Linked DNA regions of Styela clava. The protein of the gene in region 1 binds, or shares a complex with, the protein of each later gene. Links are inferred from orthologs where the notes say so. Each region holds a gene or a part of one and is shown on either strand. Other genes may lie near its edges.

Region 1 (12,195 bases):
ATTGAGTGGTAACTGGTAAGGTACAGTAAGTACAGAATAACAAATTTACCCATGAGCACGAACAAGCTTGTACAACAATATCAAGATTTTAAAATCCAGTTAATTTATTGCAGAAGTGTTGGAAAACATAATTTTCTGATTCGATCAATATTCAACTGTAGATGTTGATTAGGAAATTACCGTGAGTGTTATTATTATCGAGATCAAACTGGTTGGAATTGAATGGGTAACACTTCACTTCTCATTGTAGACAATAGATCCTCAAGAATCATTTTAAATGCTTGACTTGAGTAGATTATTCTCAACTCGGACCAGCCATCAATCAACAAACAAAGCATGTCAATCTTAAAGTCATACAGAATAAAAACATAAAATAGCAGAAGAAAGCATGTCTCTCAAAATCTTTTAATTTTTTTAGTTTTTGCTGAAATAATACATGCAGAATCCACCCTGCAACATGGCACTCGAAACCTTTTAGATGTATTTTTTCAGGTACATTTCGCATAGCAAGAATTCAAGAAAATAACTTAGTTTCCAAAATAAAGCATCCTTACCATAATCTCATTATAGAATTAAAATAGTAATTCAACTTAACAAATGATCCCTGTATTTAACTGAATAACTAATTTTTATTCATTCTTTTATTCAAGTCTAGTATCATGACATTTTCCTTAGAGCAGGGGTCTCCAACTCAAAACATGTCGCGGGCCACTTTTTGGAATTTATTGGCTATGCGGGCCGCAAACCAAGAGACTAGGTACAAAATCTGAGTATCTGAATGCAATGTGTTGAAATTACACTTGAATCTTACAGCAAACGAGACATGAAACATATTCATTTACTTGTGCTAGATATTTGGTTTAGATGTTTGGCCTTATTTGGGTTGGTTTGCTTGTCTTAAGACAGCATGCAAATGCTCGTCCATTAGTCGTATGCGGAGGGCTAACTTTCATAGTTGAGAAAAAATGCTCGCAAATATATAAACTGCCAAACATCGCAGGTATGCAACGTGAATGTGCAATTAGCTTCGCAAATCTTTCTTCGGGCATAATGAATGGACCGAAACTTGTTTATTTCGTCACAATGAACTTGCGAAATGAATTATTGAATTGTAACAATAGAGTAAAAAAAAACATGAACGTGGTAAAGTGGAATAACAGTGGGAAATTTTTGCTCCACTTTTTACAGTTCGTCGGACCGGACTCTTGATCATAAATGACACGATGAAAGTTGACATCGTACTATTTTAGTTTTTAGTGGAAAAATCCAAATCAAGACGCGGGCCGCAAAAAAATGGCTGGCGGGCCACGTGTTGGAGACACCTGGCTTAGAGTGTGCTGCCCATCCATAATTTGAACTAGAAGCTGGTTAAATTAGTTATGCATAGAATCAAAATATATCATTATCAGTTGGAACTGAAGATTAATTAAATTAGTGAAATTGTATTTCTACTTCTACAGATTTGTGGAGATGACTCTGATCAGAAATGAGGTTAAAAGAGAAGTAAAAAGCTTACTGGAAAATTTAAAAATAGCAATTGATTATGAAATATCAAGACTGGACATTTTTGTTTCATATGATTTCTCAGTGGTTAGATTCACTTTGAAATTCTTCTTTCTGTTACAACTCTTTGGAGATATTTTAGCCTGGTCCGATATATGTAGTTTCACAAATATACAGGCCTATATTATCAAACATATACATATTATATATCTTAATATTAAAATTACCGTAAGTCTATATTAATATCATAAATGAGGTTCCAACTCCAATCCTCAAACTATCACGAACACATCAAATACACTATGAAATCAGACAAATATATCAACCTTTTGTCTTCCATAGAAGTAATGGGATAACTGAATATAGATGTAAAACACAAAGTGAAGAAACACCCAAACATATTTGTCTTCTGTCACTGTATGAAGTGATGAAATGTAGGGACTTTTTTATATTATTAAACCCAACTCCCAAAAGTGTGCAACAGTGAAACAACAGAAATTAAGATGGAAAAAATGGCAAATGAATATTTAAAAACAAGTTGCTGTTATCTACAGTGCCAATATAATATTTTTACAGCAAAAAAAAAAACAAAAGAATATTTGGGTGTATTGATAAATCCGAAGCCCAAAAAATGAATAAATTACTCATTTTTTTTACAATTCAGGATTAAGGTAAGATTTAGAATTATTAAACCTATGAAGTGATCAAAAAATAAGCCCAGTAGTACTAAAGCCATTCAATGTCAAGTGTTGTTTTGAATAAGGATGCCTTTGACATATTTCCATTATATTCTAATGGAATATTATACTTTCTTGCGAAATAAAATACCCTTGGCAGTAACTATAAATTAGAAAAGTGGCCAAGATTGAAAAAATATTTCTAAGAATTGAAAACATTCCAGGAGAAAAGATATTTTTGCACACAACAACCAGGCTATAATGGGGATAAATTATTCAACAGTCTGCAACAGGCACCTGTCAAAAGCAACCTGGCACTGTCAGTCCTCTGCCAATCTAATCCCCATTGACACTGCATAGTAAATGGATGTAAAAAGCTTTGGCAAATACCGCAACAATATTATAAGACAAGAAGACTCATCAAAAAAATGCAAATTCCAATTAGCAAGAAAAAAAGATTCAAAGAATCTTAAAATATGATAGCAAATTTGTTTTTCTTCCATTGGGTGAGTGTATTTCATGTTTCAAAGAACTGAAATTTCAATAAAAAATCATCTTGAACATATCAATCTTAGGAATAATGCCGTCCTTTTAATGTCAAAGCATGTCTTCTTACCCAGTGGGAATTCCTAATACAACATAAGTGAGTGGCAGATACAGGTATTTGTGTCATTTGTGTCAAGCTGTCAATGCACTGCATAGCTCAATCAGTTATTCTGTGTTGCATGAGTTTGACAACTGAATTCACTATAGATAGGAAGTTATAAAAAATGTTCATGATGAAGTCATTTTAGCCAACTTGTTACTAAAGAGTTGCAAAACTGCGCAGGTCTTACACGAAGTCTGCATTTTCCCTTATATCCATATTTAGAAACAAGCCTGCACAATGAGTGCAATTAACTGCTGCAGTTTCATGTTTGTATATAATTTTTAGAATCCTGAAGGGTTACAGATGGTATTTGGCACTGTACCACGGATATGAATTTGGAATTCTGTGCAATTCAGCTAGTTATATGAAGCAATAAATAAATAGGCTTACAAGTATAAAGTTTTATCCAATATTGATATTCTGGGATTCTGATTTGGCAAATTTTAATATAGAATATTCTAAATGGCTTTTCTTCTAAAAACAATAAATTTCACAAAAAACAGTCATTTGATTACGCAAATCTTGAACATGATTTCTCTTTGAATAATAGAAATTTTAACTGTTTTTTAGACTCATTTCATTTGAATTCTTCAGACATCTTTACACAAGATATTCAAAAAAGCATATTTGCATAATTACATTTAAAAAATAAAATATAAAATTTATTTCTAAGCCTTTTTTTAGCTGAAGAAATAACCTATTTCAAACAAATATAGCGAATATCGGGACATGAAAACAAAGACTAAACAATAATCTATAAAAAAATTACTAAATGCTCAAATCTCCCATTTTGAATTTATATACACAAGAAGGTATAGGAGGCCATAGCAGCTACTCACATGTTCCATTGTAAGGGCACTGGTACTGAGCTGATATTCTCTCCGAACATGATCACGGTTTGTTCTGAATTCTTCTGTTGGTAAATTTCCATCTTCCTTGACTCCACTAATAGAGCCGTAGTTGTTTGAAGCAGGTTGCTGATGATAGTATTGCTCCAAATGTTTTGAAGACTCTTTTATAGTCAGTTCATAATATTCGTGAATATCTGAACAAAATATAATAAGGTAATATTCACACCTTTTCAGATGAAACAAACTGTGTCATCCCATCCTAAACAGCACCCCTACATGTAGGCCTATAATCACCAAAATTTATATTTTTTCATACTTTAGGTAAAAAAATGTAGTTTCCCTCATTGAACCATACTTACAAATCATAAACCCAAGGTTTGATGAACAAAAGTGCAGTTAAAAAATTGTTAAAATTGTTCTCATGTCTAACCAGTTGAGTGAACTATACCCTCAAGGATGATAGCATAGATAGAGCACAAGTAAAACAAACAAAGTGTGAATCGACTGCTGACAAAACTGTGATAGCCACATAAGATAATTCATTACAACTCATGGAGGCTCAATCTACATACTTGACTAAATGTGGCATCCATTTAAAAAACATCTATCCCTTCTTCAATAAACTTACTATCTCAGTGATAGTCGATGTGATAAGATAATATCAGTTTTATATTAAGTATGAACTTAATATAAAAAGTAGGTAGGAAACCTAGTTTAAAACAAAACGCATTTCAATTTTTTAAATATTCCATCAATGAATCTGAACAAATAATCATGAGTGGAAGTTGTTAAATAGATGTTAAAAAATCATTGCAAACCAAACAAAATAAATTCAGCACATCTAGTATATTGACAAAACTATGGTAGATCAATTCAAAAAAAAATTTTGAGTAAATCATGTATTCTGATATTATTGTAGCTTTCAAGTCTTGTTATGATTAATCAATCACTATTGTGGATATTTGACTCAGATATGGTGGTGCCATTAGTCAGGGATCACTTATCCATCCCCTCAACATGGTTGTAACTAGGTAAGCAATGCCAGTTATGTTTCACAACACACACCCCTCTCAAGTAGCCGGTTTAGCACAGCTTTGTTAGAAACAAACATGTGAAACCTTTCATGGAAATTATACATAGTAAGACAAACAAGTAAAAGCATCACAATATATTATAAAATGATAAAAACATTGAGCAGTGATAAAAAATAATGAGATCCAAAATTTGAATTTATGACAGTCAAGCTCCAAAATCTTTGAAAAAAAAAATGAAATGACTTTTTTTCTTAGATCATGCATGTTCAAATTGACTAATATGTTGTAAAAGAACAGTTGAATATAAAAAAATTTAATGATATTCAAGCACTAAAACAGAATTTTAATTTGGTAAAATGGTCAAATATATTACATACCTAAGAGAGCGTAAAATAAATCACTTCTAAAAATATCCATGACTTTTTCAAGTGCATCTCTTAGCTGACTATCATCAGGTTTGTTCAGTTTTAAATGATATTGCTTCAGAAGGGCAAGAGCACGGTCAGCATCTAAAAACATTTAGAAAAAAATTGATTGGTAATAAAATAAATCGTGAGCACCTTTGAAAAGCTAATATTCTCAGAAAATCTTAATTTTTAAGTTCTTAGCAGTTCACTATAGAATAAACCAGTGGTTCTTTAAACTTTTTAAGTCCTTTCAGAATTTGTCTAGTCTCGCGCCCAACCTCAAAATAACTAGCTAACAATAGGCTACAAATAACAGATAGTAGGAGGAAAGTATGTTTTGTTAAAAACAAAACATTGAAAATATGTGAATGGAATGTAAATAATGGAATGAATGTAAAGTTTTTAAAACAAACAGGGGCAAGCAAGATCAAATCTAACAAATATTTTTTATTTTTAATTAGCTTCACGCTCCCCAAGAAATTGTCTATGCCCACGTTGTTTGAGAACCACTGGAATTAACTATAAGACTGTATGAGCATAAAGATAGTATTCTAACACATGGCTGGTCAGGTCTCCAAGACATAATGAATCTGACTGAATTGTGGTCCATAGAACCATACAAATATCTTTACCTTGCTTTCTTACAGGCATCTTCAACTTCAGTCACGTCCCGAATATAGTAATATCATAGAAACATAAAATGGGAGGTACATTACTCCGTGTGGGTTCTGTAACTGAAATTTCAAAAATACCCTGAAAATTTGATATCAATGAAAGAAGGAAACATTGGACCACAAAAATTCAGGACATATGAAACAGCGAAATGCAATAACATAATCATATCCAATTTAAAGACTCTAGTACAATGAGTCGAACACTGGTCACTTTTTCAATGACATGAGTTATCTAAATCAGTGATAACCAAAACTCTTTTCAAGTGATCTGAATTTTTCAAAAAAATAAAAAAAAAAGTTTGTTGAATCTTGAAAGAAAAAGTTTGTTGAATCTTGCAACCCAAAGATATGTTTAGATACCAAACGACAAGTGGTGCATCTATGCCTACAATTGAAATTACCAATATGAAAAAACATTAGTATTGGTTTCTTATCACAAATTTTTGAAATTGTACGTCTGTACGTGGATTTCTTAGGCAAAATAGATTTAAGCTTTTAGTTCATGATACTTCCCACATACAGACATATATACACTTAAGACTACTATTGAGCAACACTTCAATATGTACAGACTTGGTCCAAAATAAACAATTCAATTCACTACAAAGATAAAATCAATAACTGTATCGCCTTTGTTAAAAACTAAGCGACCCCAAAATTTCCAAGTGACCCAGCTTTGGGATGCGACCTAAGCACTGATCTAAATGAAGGTATTTCAGGTTACTCAAACTTACTGAACACCACCAGCGAAACTTGAATTGACTCAAAAATATTCTGGTGAAATAAGATTATCCCATGACAGCATGAATTTATGTGATATGGGAAAACCGAATATTCAATAGCTTGTTGCGCCAATAACAAGAGATTGTTTAGTGTTGATGCCTAGGTAAATATTATCGATTTAATTCTATTCGATTTACAAAATAATGCTGGTCTAACACTCTGACACTAGACAGGAACTTTAAGTTTTCCTTTATCCATTTCACTGTTGTTTATAAAATATACTGACTCGAAAATGCAAGGGGTCTGGTATAGTTTAGTACCACATCCACTTCTAGTTGGCCTGGCTCAACAATTTTTGCATATGTCAATCCTAACCCCCACATGACTACGTCAGCGAAAAATTACGTCATTCCGACGTCACAGTGGCGTAATAAGGCCCACCGAAGTATGCGGATGGTCGTCCAAAACGCGCAGACGATAACCCGAAATCGAGCAAGCTATTTCTCTCGTTTTCTCGTCGCAACGATCGCGATAAGAGAGAGACTTTAGCAAGTTCTTATCGGCGGCGCAGATGCCATTTCGGGCAATCGTAATCATACTTTGGCAATCCCTATGACGTAATTTTGTGACGTAATTTTTGGATGGCATAGTCAGGTGAGGGTTAGGAATAACATATGCATAAATCGTTATGCTACGCCCACTGGAAGTACTTGTGGTAATAAACTATACTAGACCCAATGCAAGAATGAGATTGCAGGATTAGGACCCCTGTACTCCTGCACTTGCAACTTGAGGCTTAGGGACTTTATATCAGACACTGAAAAATATTTGATCGGATTTTGGACTACATGAAAAAGATACAAAATCTATTAGTACAGATTTATCAATTATAACAACATTCAGACTTTAGGTTCCAAAACCTATTTTCTGTATTTAATAGATTGACTGAGCATCTGACCATTTTGTCCATCAATTATAGAGGCATCACACAGCTAGCGAGCATTTTTGAACTCGGCTCTTTGAACCACGTACTACAGCTCTAATACCTACGGTATACTTGGCAGCGGGATAAAACAAACCACGATTATATCTCACACTTCGCGTAATACGCGAATTTTAAATACAATACTCAACATGGCGAATCAAGACGGTGATATATGTCACTGCACAATATTATATTCGTAATTTGGGTATTAAATCTGTAAATACTAAAATTGAATCGTGAAGAAAACAGAAGGCCATACATCTCTACTGAAACGAACAAGCCGCCGTTTGTGTCTTTTTACATGGGTTACCGTACTGCTGAATTGCGAAGTTTCTGGGAATAAAACACATCCTATCTTTATCGAGCATGAAGTTTCGGACGAATATAATAATTGAAATATCAGTGGGCGAATTAACTTCACTGGAAGTCGTTTAGAGGTCGATGCGAATTTTGTAATCGGTGTTATCCTCAATATCTGTATGTGCTTTTTCTACTCCCATAAATTTCCTTTAGCACCGTTTTCATGAAAACTAATGGAATCAAATTCGTTTTATTACTTTTATCACTGGTCAGTGGCAAATTCCATTAATAAGGCCTAAGAAAAAAAAAACGACATTTGTGACGTCATTGATGACACCGATTTACATCGGCTTCATAAGAACTTGCTAATTGTTAACGTTGGTGTATTATGCTCGCTGGCTGAACGCCAAAGCGGGACTTTTGACTGACCGGTCGGGACGCCGGGACAAGACGTTAAAAAGTGGGACTGTGGGACCAATGACATTAAACAACATGATGCGCAACTCCGGCATTTTTGGCCGAAGATCGTATCCAATAGCACGCTCCAATGCACATACTTGACGAGACGAAAACGAGCGGATGTGTGCTGTTTTCAAGGTATAGCACAAATGGTGTTCGTGCCTGCTTTGACAGTTGTTATCAATTTTAATGATATTTTGGAAAGTTGAGGTAAAAAGAAATCGGAAAAAGGTAAGGTGAATACTATTGTTGTATATCACACCCGGGCATCGCACTGTTAAGTACATCTGGAAAAGCCAGCTTTTGTCAAATACTACGAAGTTATTAATTCAGCACGATACGTAGTTGCCCATTTGCCGAAATTGCATGTTTACCTAACCTTTATGGTTTCAAATAGTTCATGCACCTCCATTTAGATTTTTTTAATCAGTGAGGATATATACTCATTGCTGTAACATACTATTGCTCATTCACTTTTATTTGCGTATTGAATCAAAAGGTTAACAAGTTCACCTAACATTTCACTCATACCGGTCTATATTGTATAGTCTGATCTCTCAAGTATTTGGAGCCACGAATGCTTGTAATTTTCTGACTAAACCCCTTTATAGAGGACTTGCACGGGTCACGTGACCTTGTTACTGGACGGCAATAAAACAAAAACGTCCATTTGGCTCCTGTCAGTTGCAAGTCGGATTATACGTTTCCGTTTTGTTTGGCTGTTGAAAATGGTTATTTCGTATTGTTCCGCTGGCTGTACGTATAGTATAGACAACGAAATGGAACTTCAGCTATATTCCACTGTTTTCAAAAGATCCGGAACGTCGCGCAATGTGGATATCATCTATTGGCAGGACTGCTTGGTGTCAAGTCCAGAAGCCATCTTACTCGTGTTTCACTGTTTGCGGACAGCACTTCGTTGATGGTGAGTCATGATGTGCCGTTATCAATTTTTTTAAATATTCATAAGCTCCCTCATTTCAATGGAAAGCAGATGACAAACTATTGTTATTGGTAGGCTTAGGCCTACTTGCAGACTTGACTCGTGTAAGGTATTAATCAATAATTGCCATAAGGTATTGTTTCCCTAGTTAGCAGGTAATCTATTAGTAATTGTGAAAATTTGAATAGATAACTAAAGTTTAATGCCAGTGCTAATGCAAAAAATAACCAGAATTCAATTGAATTTTCCATCTGAGAATACGCTCGCCACCGCATCTCTGATCCCCATGGGCAGATGGGAGTTTCACAGGTTCCAATCCCATGCGGGGATAGTTATGTGCGAGGGGACGAGGAGATTGCAGCTCCTCCCACTGAGGGTGGTTCATACGACCGCTGGGCGATTACGACATACCCCACCATCAAGTCCATGCTTCTAAAACAAATAACTGACTAACTAATCCCGACATAGAATGGTAATCGTACGATGTTGCACCTTGCAATCTGTCCCCAACCACAGATAAATTCTATCCTAAAAACTACCCACATTGGTAGGCATAGTTGCGTTTTAAATTGAAAGAAATCTTCATTAATGGTCAGAAGGTGTTGTCTGATTATTTTGGTAGTTAGCAGGTAATTTATTACTGATCTGATACACAAACTTGGCACTGTCAAATGATGATTAGTGTTTAATTTATTTTCAGGAAAAGGGAAGATAACCCATTATCAGCTGCTTACATGTTCCATCGATATTTGAATTTTCGCCATCCCCAGAGAAGAAGAGAATAGTTCGAAAAAGGAGGATTTTGAAGAAAGGAAAAAGGCAGGACCATTTCAACAAATTCTGTTAACTTGTATGCGTTGCAATATTAATTCGCAGTTGTTAGCATAAACATTTAATGTGTCTTTCGACTAGACCTACCACACTTAAAAAAAAACGCCCACACCCCTTTTCACTAGAACCATAATACTGTAAAATATTTGATAGAAATTACCCCCGAGGCATCATATCTTTCATTTGAAAGGGCTGTGGAGGCAGATACATTTTTTACTCTAAATTATGGAATGTTACTTCCAGGTTATCTTATCCTTGCTTATAGATATCTTGAGGTTAGTGACTCCAACTGACCCATGCATGCCACACTGAAAATTCTCTTGTGTACCCATAAAATAAGGCTGTTGGAGCCTTCAGACCTTGAAAACAGTCGAATCTGAGCACGATGGATTCATGTGAAACACATAATATGCATTTAGAGGCAAAAATATCCCATCCTGAGCAGCACCGATCCACAACATCCTGCCTATGGAATCAAAACATTAGACAAATTGGTGTACTGTGCGCATTCACAAATTTTTGCGAATCAAGTGTGCCTTTTGACTAAAGAAATTGTTTTTTGAAAATACATTTTTGATGTGCTTTATTTTTCAAATATAATTTATAATTACTGTAAAGTGTGTGATACATTTGGTACCATGAATACTATTTGCAAATTAGCTTGGGTTACACCCCTCTCAAATAAAAGTTTAGACTCTTAAGTCGTATCTCATAATATTCTTTAAACAAAAGGTTGCGGCTAGCTGGCTACCCATCAGAATTTCCTTTCAGATCACAAAAGTCGCAATATTACGCCTCGCTTAAGTTTCATTGGCAACTGTATCTGGTTGTAGTATCGGTGTCCATCGTTAGACTGAAACCTTCACGACCAGACCCACCGAAACAATTTTTTTTTCTTGATAGGGTCGTCTTGAAGTTGATTTCGTTAAAGCACAATGGACACTTTATCTCCACCAATCCACAGTAATGACAAGTTACTTTTTCATTACGATAAGCATCAATAAATGGATACTGAGGATGTATTATCAAGTCACGCAAGCTGAGGTCTTGTGCCACTGTGGTCTTGTTGCAACTTATACTTTGCCATCCATCTATTCCATGGTCGCACCCATATCTGTAAGATAATGGATACAGATAAGAGTTTTCATAAAATCTAACGATCAAGGAGTGTGAAATTTAGGGCTGGGCATTTCGATTTCAGAATCGAATCGAATAATTTTTTCGAATCGAATCTCGAATACTTGAAAATATAAAATTGTAAGCGACTTTATCATAGTAATTGGTCCTCTCAACAAATGAATTACTGAAGACATAGAATAAATCACTCAGATAGATTACTGAGCGTTCACACAGAATAACAAACACGTTTTATCAATAACTCACTACAGAAAATAGTCATATGTTAGAATTTCGTTGAAAAAATATGACTTCAATGAAAAAAAAATTGGGGAATTCACCTCGACCATTAGCGGAAAGATAAAAACAAGATGGCGGCGATTCGAAATTCCAGTCTGAACCGATTCGAATAATTTACTATTCGATTCGAATGGAAATGCCCAGCCCGGGTAAAATTTATGTCCATATCCCACCACAGCCACTAGTCGTAAATGAATTTGATTCCGGGTAGCATATCTTTTTTACCAATGACAATAAAAAGACATTTTGATACAGTTGTACAAGCACCATTAGGATAGGATTTATCTGGGGGGGGGGGGGGGGGAGCCAGTTATTTGTTTTCAGAAGCATGGACTTGGATGGTGGGGAATGGTCGTAACCGATCAGCGGCCATGTGAACCACCCTCGGTGGGAGTGGAGCTGCAATCCTCTGGCACATAGCTATCCCCGCATGGGATTGAAACCTGTGAAACTACCAGGGTGATCAGAGATGCGGTGGCGAGCGTATTCCTAGATGGCGAATTAAATTGAATTCTGGTTATTTTTTGCATGACCAGTGGTGTTAAACTTTAGTTATCTATTCAACCTTTCACACCTAGTAATAGATTACCTGCTAATCAGGAAACAATACCTTCTGTCAGACCTTACAGCAGTACAGCAATTGATTATTAATTCCTTACTGTCTTACACAAGTCAAGTCTGCAACTGCAAGTAGGCCCACGCCTAGGCCTACTGATAACAGTAGTTTGTCATCTGCTTTCCAT
Region 2 (11,713 bases), on another chromosome or scaffold:
TCATGTCAAGACGCTCCTTAGTTTGAAGCAAATTTCATCAAAATACAGGGTGTCCATAAAGTTCCTTTACAATTTCAATTTTGTTATGAAGTCAGTTCTCAACCAGGTTTGTTGTTTTTTTAATCAGTAATTGTTCAAGTATTTTCACTTTTTTCAATACATCTGTGAGGGCCAAAACAATATATGGTATCGATAAATTTCCTTTGCAATTTTCAAATTTTATCACATACAATATGGGATAGGATAGGATTTACATATTTATCCCGGGGGAAGGAATGCCGACAGGACGGCTTAACTACATGGCGAACCACGGCCTCTCGGCCGGTTACCAGTCCATGTCGGGTATGGTTTATCCAGGTATTTGTTTTCGGAAGCATGGACTTGATATAAAGTTACAAGAGTTACAATATTATACATATATGCTACTTGTAAATGACTCATTCATAACCAAATATATTTGGCGCGGCAGTGTGGCTCATCGTGCTAAGCGTGTGTTCGCTGGTTCGAATCCCATGCGGGTTGGTTATGTGCGATAGGATTGCTGGACTCCTCGTCGTCGTTGGGTGGTTCACGTAACCGCTGGTCGGTAACGACTTCCTCCACCATCAAGTCCATGCTTCCGAAAACAAACAATACAGTAAATCTAATCCCATACCTGACATGGAATGGTAACCGGACGAGAGGCCGTGGATCGTCATATGGTTAAGCCGTCTTTCCTCTCCCCCGGGATAAATATGTAAATCTTATCTTAACTCACTATATTGTACCGGTACCGTACCGTAAAATAAAACACCACTTACTCATAATACTTTATTGCTTTTCTCATTAACCCTACGGCTTCTTCCGGGTGTTGGGGGGGACGATCGATCGCTCTGCTGTTCAGACCTTGTTTCCCTTGAACGTGATAAACATTGCCCAGGTTGTAAAGAGCACGAGCTTCCCCCACCTGGAACATAAATTAAAATCTATAAGTATTTGATTGCGGCTCCAGTCCGGTGTCAGTCAATTAATAACAGCAGCTCTTTGGCATTTCAGTGATTGGAAGTAATTTCGCTTAGATATCAACCCCCGCCTGCAAAAAATGAAATTTAGAATATTTTCTTGTGGTCTCAGTTTAGTGTTAATCAATTATTGCAATTATCAATCACAGATTGCCACCTCCGAAACTTTATTACTTATCGATTTTAATCGGTAAGTATGTTGATATGTATTTGTAAGTATGTTGATATGTATTTGTAAGTATGTTGATATGTATTTGTCTGTCTGTCTGTTTGTTAGATGAACGTGATATCTCCCGAAAGCGAGATTGAATATGCTCCAAATTTTGCAAGTGCATTCATCATATGTCGTACCAGAAGCCTATTGATTTTGGTTGAATTGTGTCGTATAATTAGCGAGTTATTAATTAATTAGTGATTGGACACAAGGTGTCACTATGGAGTAAGAGCGCTGTTTTGGGGTATCCCCTAACTTTCGATCGATAAGTCATCGGTCTCTAACCGATATTCTCGTTTTATGGTTTCAGTTGCTCCTGGTATTTGCGGTAGTTACCCGTAACCTTGAGATGAGTCTCCCTTGCTTCGGCAAAGTTGATTATTAACGATACCGGTATTTAACGTAACGACATTTGTGAACTTGGATGAAAAAAATTTCTCAAAAATTGATTGTGCGCCTTGTATGCCTAAGATCTATTTAAAACTAAACCAGTAATCTTTGAAACCTAGACTAAAAGATGATAGAAAATAAAATAGTTTATTTCTGCAAATATGACATGACATATTTGCATGGAGCCTAATGCCTGGGATAGATAATGCTTTATTGCCTACACTGTTGCGCCTTAAGAAGCAAAACCTAATCTAGTCATTGTTTTCATAATAACAATCCATTTGGATGAATTCGCAAAATACAGTAAATGTTTTACCTTGTCTTTCAATTCTCTTGATATCTCAAGATGTCGGTCACAGCAAGCGACAGCTTCTTCAAATTTTCCGAGCATTTTGAGAGTGTTAGCCAGATTTCCGCTTGCTTTTGCTTCACCTATTTTATCTCCGGTAGTTCTAAGTAGAAAGAAATATAATTAAATTTAACATTTGGATAAAGATAGAATACACTAGGGGGCAGTAGAGTATAAAGAGTCGTATTTTCAAAATCCCCAATCAGAGTCGCAACTTCTCAAATATATTTTGTTCCAGCATTCCTTAAAAAGGTGTGATTTTAGGTTATACCCATTATTTGATATAGTTTAGCGCAACGATGGGCAAACTGCGACTCGTCGGACTTTTTATGCGGCTCTTCTCGTTAGCATTATTTATCATCCAAATTTAATAAAATTAATTAAGAGAAACCGTAGCGAAACAGTTTTTTTAAATTCATTGAGCGGTCGAAAAGTTTTCATCAATGATTAAGATAAATTATGATTTAGTATGAAAATCGCAGCGTGGAATTCGAATCAGTCAAACAACAAATCTTACATCACAATGATCAATGTTTGTTGCTGCGTTGGCGCATATCACAAAGACTCTTAAAAACTTTCAGACAGGATGAGAACACACAAGTAAACTACTTCTGATATGGCATTGCCATATATACTCTGCAATATTGTTATTAAACGTTTGTGTAAAGCTCATCTCAGTTCACGGTAATCTAATATCATTAATTTTCAAAAATTATGCGGCTCTCACATATTTCTGACTTGTCGCATATGGCTCTTATACTAAAAAATTTTGCCCACCCTGGTTTAGCGATCGTTTCTAGGGTCTATATCAGGGTGGTCCAAGATTGGCAGCTCCGCGGGCCACAAAATTACTTTTGCATTGTTCGCGGGTCACAATAGTGCCAAGAATTTCGCTCGTTTAACTTCGCTAGTTGCCTCAGCCAGCCATAACACTAGTCAATTCAGTAACATTAGTGATGCAACAATATGTCAAAAGATTTTTTGGTTGATTTTATGACGAAACAACACGAAATGCTATTTTTTGATTCCTCTCCGAATGCGACGCGGGCCACAGATGATGAAGTGGCGGGCCACATGTGGCCCGCTGGCCTGAATTTGGACCACCCTGGTCTATATCTTTAACATTAATTTTGTTGTTTTGTGTTTGTTTGCACCAGTTGTGCATGTATTAATATTCTCAACCGCCTGATTTATTCCCTTCTTACTACAGATGCTCTTACCCTGCCAGACTAATTCAAACAAATCCTTTCTCACAATATATCAAGAGTATTTAAGCTGCGCTTCGTCAATATAATCACGTACCACAGATACAAGCAATAACATGTCGATTTAATTTTTAATCTTAACACTCTGCTTATCCAATATTGCTCTCATCAAAAAGGGTTTAAAGGTGATCCTTAAGCACCATAATCATTAGCATAAATGAGCAAAATGTAATTCAAAATCAATCAGGTTTACAAATCAATATCTTTAATAACATTCGACGCAATTGGTCTTGAAGTGCTCGAAGAGGATCTCCAAGGATTCATTAGTAAACCTAGGGGCTCTGGGAACTACTCGTTTACTTATTGGAAATATTGGAAATAATAAATATTTTTAAGATACGAAGGAGCAAATACATCCGAGTCATTAAATAAAGTGATTTAAGTTCACTCAGTAACATTAATCATTGAGTAATAATGTGTTTTTTATTTTTATAAATTTATTGTGGGGCTCGATAAAGAATAGTCAACCTTTTCACGGGCTCCATAATACCAAAAAATTCAGAAACCCTGCATATTAGTTATCGATTTCCATCGGTAAGTATGTTGATGGGTATTTGTCTGTTAGACACTTTCGTATGTTCTGCAATATCTCACAAAAGCGAGGTTCAATATGCTCCGAATATTTTGCATGTGCATTCATCATATCTCGGACCAGAAGCCTATTAATTTTGGATGAATTATGTCGTATAATTAGCGAGTTATTAATCAATTAGTGATGGGACACGTGGTGTCGCTATTGAGTCAGAGCGAAGAAGTCGAAATCGCAGATTGATAAGTCGGCAGTCTCCGATCGCTAACTAGTTTTCAAGTTATCATATTATATGAAAAAATGATAAATTTTTCAAACTGAATAGGATTGTCATTAGTTCAAGAGTCTTTCTGCACAATAACATAAACATATTCCTGTATCACTTCGTCTAACCAAGGTTTAAGCTTGGAATCCAGCAGTTTTGGGTGAAATACTTTCACCCATTAGTCGATAATAAATACTTCTTGACCGCATAGCCTTGATTGTTACTAGTAGATAAATGATAGAAAACAAAATGAACGATAAAAAAATATATTCATAAAAATGTTTTTTTAGGTTTCCAAAATCCATTAGTAGCATACAAAGTGATTTACACAATAACAGCAATTTAGCTAATTGAACGAAAGGTAAAAGATGGACACTCTCGTAGTATGTGAACCAAGATGGCGGACACCTGAGTATGTGTACCAAGTTAGGATTAGGCCATAATTTTATTTTGATTTTCCCTATTTTAGTTCTATTACGAGTTTGGGGCTAGGCCAAGTGACTCCTGTGGTATTTGTACCTGAAGTTAGGGCCTAACCCTAAGAGGGTACACATACTACGTTCCGGTGTCCGCTATCTTGGTTTACATACTAAAGGAGTACCAAAAGATGTCTCACCGCGCCAAGGTTCTGTCATGGTTATGATATTCCATCGCTTTATGATATTCTTGCAGATAAAAATATGCGTTGCCCAGCTGACTGTAGATTGCGCTGAGTGTCTTTAGGTCCTCTGTAAAATGAGGGAGCAATGTTTAAGCCTTCAACTAAGAGTAGAAAGAGGATTGGTCGCACCTATATATTTTTTAAATATAAGGAAAAAATTGCGACCTATCTGCGAGTATATACGGTTAGTTTGCACAAATCAAGGTCCTGAGCCCTCAACTGAAAGTCGAAATTGTACTGATAGAAGAGTTGCAAGTTTGCTCAAAGCAAGGTCCTGATCCCTCAACTAAAAGTAGAAAGAGTACTGATAGATGAATTGCAAGCTAACACTATTACTCTAAGCTTAGGTTTATCATCATGAAAGACATGCCAGTGGATAGTAGTTGAACATAACTAGGAAATGACAACTCAACACTGCTAGAAAAACCATAGATGAAGTTACAAAACCAAATATCCCGTTTCCTATGGACAAACCGCTAACATTAAAAAAACAATTTTGAAAGCAATCCATAAGTTCCAATAAAATCCCTCACCTGTGCCTTGTCTCACAGCCTCTTCAAAATATTGCACTCCAGCTCGACAGTCGCCAGATTTACAAAGTCGTTCTCCCTCCATTGCGAGCTCGACACAAACGCTTCTTTCGCGTATTCCCGCCATCGTGGTAAATAAATCAGTCAGTTTATTCCAGAGTAATACAGTTGAGTAACGTCACTCGTTATATAATCATCATCAGCCTTACCTAGGTTATGTTCAATGGACAACGACGAAGCCAACCAACCGTGTTACAATGCAATTTTAATCATCAAATATGAGCGATATTGATTGAAATTCAACCAGATTAATATTACATATCAATTTTTCAGCTTGATTAATTTAAACCTGAAAGATTAGAATGGTACATAATAATACACGGTCAACAGGCCCAGACAACTTTGATTCTGTTTACCTGAGCTTACATGTTTTTCTCTCCTTTATCTCTTCAAAAAAATTCCAAAGGTAAATTTAGGGCGCTCCCATAGTATGTGAACCAAGATGGCAGACACCGGAACGTACTATGTGTACCAGGTTAGGGTTAGGCCATAATTTTATCCCAATTTTAGTTCTATTATGAGTTCAGGGACTAGCCAAGTGACTCCTGTAGTATTTGTACATGAAATTATGGCCCGACTCCAACCAGGTACACATACTACGTTCTGCTATCCGCCATCTTGTTCACATACTATATGAGTACCAAATTTGACCACAAGAACCGGAGCGTGAAACCGGCGGCCGTGGGCTACAACCAAGAACACCAAGCTATTCAGTGTGGCATTAAGTCAACATTCAGAACAAAGCAATTGAAAAATTTTCAAAATGCAGACTAAAGTCAGCTAGAATTTGTAATGGTAGTATTGTGAAATTTGCATATTAACTAATCAATATAATTAAAACTACACTAAATACAAGTAATATTTCTCCCAAAAAAGAATTAATGATAGGAAATAAAAAAAAAGATAGAAAATTTAGTGGCGGGGTGATAACCGGATATTCCCTTAACTTATCTAGGCACACCTATCTCGGGGGAGAAGAAAGCTGATGATACGATTAATCATATGGCAAACCACGGCATCTCGTCTGGTTACCAGTTCATGTGCGGTATGGCGTATGGTATTACTTGTTTTGGGGAGCATGGACTTGATGGTGACGGAAGTTGTAACCTACGATGGCGAGGAGTCACATAACTATCCCGATATGGGATTTGAACCCGTGAACTCACACAAGTAATCAGAGGCGTGGCGAGCGTATCCCTAACGCTTGGCACGATTTGCAACACTGCAAGCCAAATAAAATAGACATTTAGTGGTTCTCAGTCTTATTAAAGATGTCTTATTATTTGGATACATAAAACAAGATCTCTTTTTCTTCCACAACGGCATATTTCTAAGATTGCACCATGTATGTCGTGCAATCGTGACAAGAGTCAATGGTGTTGTAACCAAAAGTTGTTCTGTCAAATATATTTTGCTAAAATCTCTCGAATGCTACAGAATTTTTTTTTCCCGAAGGAATTCAATGGTGACATTTTTAGACTGCGTTTTCTTTTAATTTATTGCACAGCGACTGCTGAAGGAGGGGTTTGCATTCATTGTTATCTCATAATGTGGGGGTTATATTCTTGGAATCGGAAGAACTGAGCGATACTGTAATAGTAATAGCTTATTTTTGTATTCCTGTATTCAGATAACTCTCAGCATGAGCACATGGATAAACGTAAAAATTAAAAGAAGTCCATCAAAATGTGGATAAAACAGGCTTTCACCAGCCTGTCCCGGGTCTTGCGAAGTAAACCCCAAAACTGCTTGAATAACGCCAAACAGAAATTTGTTTGATTTTAAAAGAGTCTGTATGGCGCAGAAAAAAATTCTTGAAACATGCTTTTAGTTCAAATCGAACCCACTGAAGAGATATATTTTTCGTCAACCAGAAAAAACGAGCATTGTAACAATAATAAAAATATACAATAACATACGAAAAGTTGCTTGGTATAGACTAGAGAAATACAGATACCACTTTTGTCGCCGATACCGATACACTGATATTACGAAGCGGCCGATATTGCAGATATTCCGATACAATGTAAATATTGCCTTGCGTGTGCAACACTAGTCGTTGAGCATTATTCATACTACACATTATTTCAGATTGAAAAAAATATATATAATACATCATAAGAAATTGATGTTTGGGATTCAGATGCGTTAATTAATTTAGATGCATTGTGTACTGAAGCTAGTAATCTCGGTGTTCAATTAGAAAACTCTTAAGCAGGGATGTCCAATTCGAAGTTAATATTGATAACGCGACCTTCGAATATCGCATTATAAGAATATCGATTATTGCCCACACGTCGTAGCGCCGCCGTCCACGTTTTAAGTGAAAACATTTCAAATATATTTCATTCTATGTTTTATCGTAATCGTGCGTTGCGACAATAAATTACAGCCGGATTAAGAGGATTTCAATCAGCGCCGGATAGAAATACCTATAACCCGTCGAGGATGTTTCTGATTTTATTACTTCATAATATATCGCAAATATTATCGTATATTTCAAGATAGTCCTGGCGACCACGGCAATAAATATACGAGGAAATTGTATAGTTAATACTAATGATATCAAATATTTAATACCTGTGTAGAAAGATAATTGAGTCGGAATTTAACTTAAAGATGTGGATGGACTAAATGACACTAGCGCTTAACAATAAACAGTCAGAATTTATGACCGTGCCAAAAAGTGCGTATGCTGTTAATAAAGACGTTTATACACTATGATTTAAAACTGGGCTCCTAGTTACTCTTATTATTAATGCCTATTAAGTCTACTTTCTTAGAGCAATTTCATTTATATCACACATGCCTATTGACTGCTTTACAATGATAACATTATCAAAGACTGATGTATATGTCCCTGGATTTTACAATGTATTAGGAATTTCAGTATCGAGAATATTTTTAGAATGTATTCGAAATAGTCGATGGGTATGGCCATCCCTGCTCATAAGGTTTTGCTACCAGGAAAGTGGAATAAATAAATGTTTAGCCTACTTATCCTATCAAATTGATACATTGAGTTACGTGCGCAAGATTTTGTTCCAATAAAACGACATATTTTGTATTTTACACTTTAGAAAATCCACTAATATTCGATTGATATAGGCTACTATTCATAATTACTATGTGATATTGAAAACGTCACTATAAAAATTTGGCAGTAAAAATAGCCAAATTAGTTGAGCGTTTGGCTGATAAATAACTTAGAACAGGTCAGAATCCCATTCTCGTTTCTTCTCGCTGGGGTGGGGACGTGTATGACTCATAGTTCACAATTCCCCCAAACAAAAAATAATTTAAACATGAGTATTCCAACTTATTCTGAATCATATCAAAAAGGTAAACATATCGGAAATATTGGTCTTCATTTAGCCGATACCGATACACTACCGATACCGAAAAATTGGCCGATGTTGCCGATACCGATACATTGGTACATCCATAGTATAGACTGGGGAGAGCGATAAGACCATCAGAGCTCCCCTCATGCAGTTTAAATATAGCAATTGGTAATGAATCAGTGAAAAACAGATATTTCGATCTATGCTTAGACTAGAAACTTCCAACCCAAGTGGGCGAAATACGGTACAAAACAAGGGTCTAGTATAGTTTAGTACCACAAGTACTTCCGGTGAGCGTAGCATAACGAATTTTGCATATGCTATTCCTAACCCCCACCTGACTATGCCATCTAAAAATTACGTCACTAAGATGACACCATCACGTCATAGGGCTTGCCAAAGTATAATTACGATCGCCCGAACTGGCATCTGCTCCGCTTATAACAAACTCGTTAACGGCGTCGATATCTCTCCTATTGTGATCGTTGAAGAGAAAACGAGAGAAATATCCTGCTCGATTTCGGGTGATCGTCTGCGTGTTTTGGACGACAATCAGCATACTATGGTGGGCCTTAGTACGCCACTGTGACGTCGAAATGACATAATTTTTCGGTGACGTAGTCAGGTAAGGGTTGGAATTGACATATGCAAAAAATTGTCGAGCCACGCCAACTAGAAGTGCACGTGGGACCAAACTATACCAGACCCCAAAACAACCACTAAACAGATTTCAAATATCAGAATATCCAATAGTTGAGTCGGGTCTCATGTACTTTCCTACCTAACGTACTTCTAGTAGGCGTAGCATAACAATTTTTTGACATGCCAATCCTAACCCCCACCTGACCACACCATCCAAAAATTATGTCACTACAGCACTACGACGTCACAGTGATAGTGTCCTTCAAACTATGCGAACTATCAACCAAGACGCGCAGACGAGAACCCGAAATCGAACAGCCATTTCTCTCGTTTTCTAGTCGCAACGATCCCGATAGGAGAGAGATCGCTGACGTTAGTCAGTTCTTTATCGTCGGCGTCGATGCCATTTCGGGCGATCGTACGAGTATTTGGCAACCTCTATGACGTGATTGTGACGTCGTAGTGACGTAATTTTTGGATGGCGTAGTCAGGTGAGGGTTAGGATTGGCATGTCAAATGATTGTTATGCTACGCCTACTAGAAGTACGTTAGGTACGAAACTACACGAGACCCGTTGAGTCAAGATTAAAATTTAATTTAGTTTTTACTCAGCGTCCGGATGAGAGCCAAACTTGACACCTGAATTATTATCCTATGTGTTTCTACTAGCTGACTGCTACAGTATGTATTTAATTTTTCCGTATTTAATCCCACATGCAAATTCTGTGATCAGTTTTAGTTTATTTCCACCAATTCTTTTATCGTCTATTATGCTGACTACCGCCGGTATGGAGTCAAAATAGACTTAAAAAATAAACTCGAACAATATTTTCGGCTCAACGGATAGTCCTGACAAGAGTCCGTGGTTCGCCATATGGTTAAGTCGTCTTATTTCTTTCCTCTCCCCCGGGATAAATATGTAAACCCTACACTCTGTTCAGGACTGGATCGTCGAAATTTACTGAAACAGGTAACTTACGGCGCTCGATGAATTTTCTCGGGTCAAAGGTTATTTAAAATTGATTGATTTAAGAATTCTTTTCGCAATGAGCATTCGTGAGAAGCAACACATCTTTGCCCAGAACACAGCTCTTCGATAGATTGTTTTAAAACATTACAAATACTTCGAATTTAAATTTATGAGACCTATGAACATTACTTAACATCTAGAAGTTTAATTGGCGGCCGTTATAAGGATACATTTCATTTGTGTGGGGTTAAACTGGATGGTTACTCAGTTTTGATGTTTTGGAGGGACCATAAACCCCTTTTATGCTGAATATTGTAGCGAATTACGCAAGAGCACTGAGAAATCACGCTAAAAAGGGAATTCCGATTTCCGATAAAATTCCGATAAAATGCAAGACGATAACGCAAACTGGATTTTTCTTTCGCAATCACAATGGATGACTCAGTCAAAATTTTCGTTCGCGAAAAATTTCGATATGGGAAAGGGAAGGGACGTAAATAGCTGATGCATGAAGAAGGGCGTTTTGCGTAGAAGAGCGAGAAAGTGCGTAAATATAGATCGCTCGATGTCTTGTATCACATTGACAGCTCGAGGTACGACGACTGGAAATTATAAAATAAATAGTGAAAGGAATAGGTGACCTGGTGGTTGTTCTGTAAAGGAGTTTTAGTGAAAAATTGCCATAGCAGCTCATAGTCGTCGGAATGGCAATGTATGTGTGATATTTGTGGTTCGTTCAGGTTAGTTCGTTAGATCGTGCGTAAGTCAAGCAGGGTCATTCAAATTTAAGAGCCATTTAAAATCAAGCTCTAATTGACTTTAAATTTTTTGAGTGACGCCTCAACTGTCGTATAGCCTCTAATATTATTACTTATCGATCTTAAGATCGGTAAGTATGTTGATAGGTATTTGTCTGTTTGTTTGTTTGCTTGTTTGTTTATTTGTCTGTTAGATACACGCGATATCTCACGGAAGCGAGGTTGAATCTGCTCCAAATTTTGCATGTGCAATCATCATAGCTCGGATCAGAAGCCCATTGATTTTGGATGGATAATGTCTTGTAATTAGCGAGTTATTAATTGATTAGTAATGGGACACACGGTGTCACTATGGTGTAAGACCACTGTTTTGGGGATCCCCTAACCTTCGATCGATAAGCCTTCGGTTTCTAACCAGTATTCTAGTTTTATTATTACTGCATTTTTTCTCACGACTTACTTTGAAAATGCCAATTAAGAAGAGCTAATTATGCCGGTATTAAATCTACAGTAACCTTAAATATTTTTACAGATATCTACTTTGTAGCTAAGTTTTTAGTTGCCTCATTAAACCTTTCTAGAAGCGAACATGGACTTCGTCAAAATTATTTCGTTCATCTCTCTCATCTGTGGCTTGCGTGCGAAGCTAAAAATACCGGGTAATATCTGTTTCAGATACAAATACATGATAATTTGTGCACCCCCCTCCCCCCCCCCCCCCCCCCCTGCTTCTGG

Evidence for each region.
Region 2: the proteins of disks large homolog 4-like (region 1) and G-protein-signaling modulator 2-like are in contact, whole or in part, in a crystal structure (PDB 3TVT), measured with the Drosophila melanogaster proteins. The link is inferred for Styela clava from reciprocal best matches to the Drosophila melanogaster genes dlg1 and pins. Residues at the interface, in NP_996406.1 of Drosophila melanogaster: Cys808, Val809, Pro810, Arg814, Arg817, Arg824, Asp825, Tyr826, Ile839, His842, Phe844, Ile845, Glu846, Ala847, Gly848, Gln849, Tyr850, Tyr855, Ser877, Asn879, Arg883; in NP_524999.2 of Drosophila melanogaster: Arg434, Met437, Gln439, Leu440, Asp441, Leu442, Ile443, Lys444, Ile445, Thr446, Pro447.

Annotation. Positions count from the first base shown.
Region 1 is NC_135256.1:22,008,555-22,020,749, reverse strand, and holds the start of disks large homolog 4-like, read right to left. Parts: upstream 5,879-12,195; 5' UTR 5,773-5,878; coding exon 5,754-5,772; intron 5,224-5,753; coding exon 5,092-5,223; intron 3,875-5,091; coding exon 3,669-3,874; intron 1-3,668. UniProt on the Drosophila melanogaster protein: During embryonic development, some isoforms are essential for proper neuronal differentiation and organization. Required for cell polarity; maintenance of apicobasal polarity.
Region 2 is NC_135254.1:1,028,910-1,040,622, forward strand, and holds the start of G-protein-signaling modulator 2-like, read right to left. Parts: upstream 5,553-11,713; 5' UTR 5,332-5,552; coding exon 5,208-5,331; intron 4,742-5,207; coding exon 4,630-4,741; intron 2,058-4,629; coding exon 1,922-2,057; intron 947-1,921; coding exon 801-946; intron 1-800. Other genes in the region: uncharacterized protein LOC144422991, read left to right, coding at 11,568-11,637.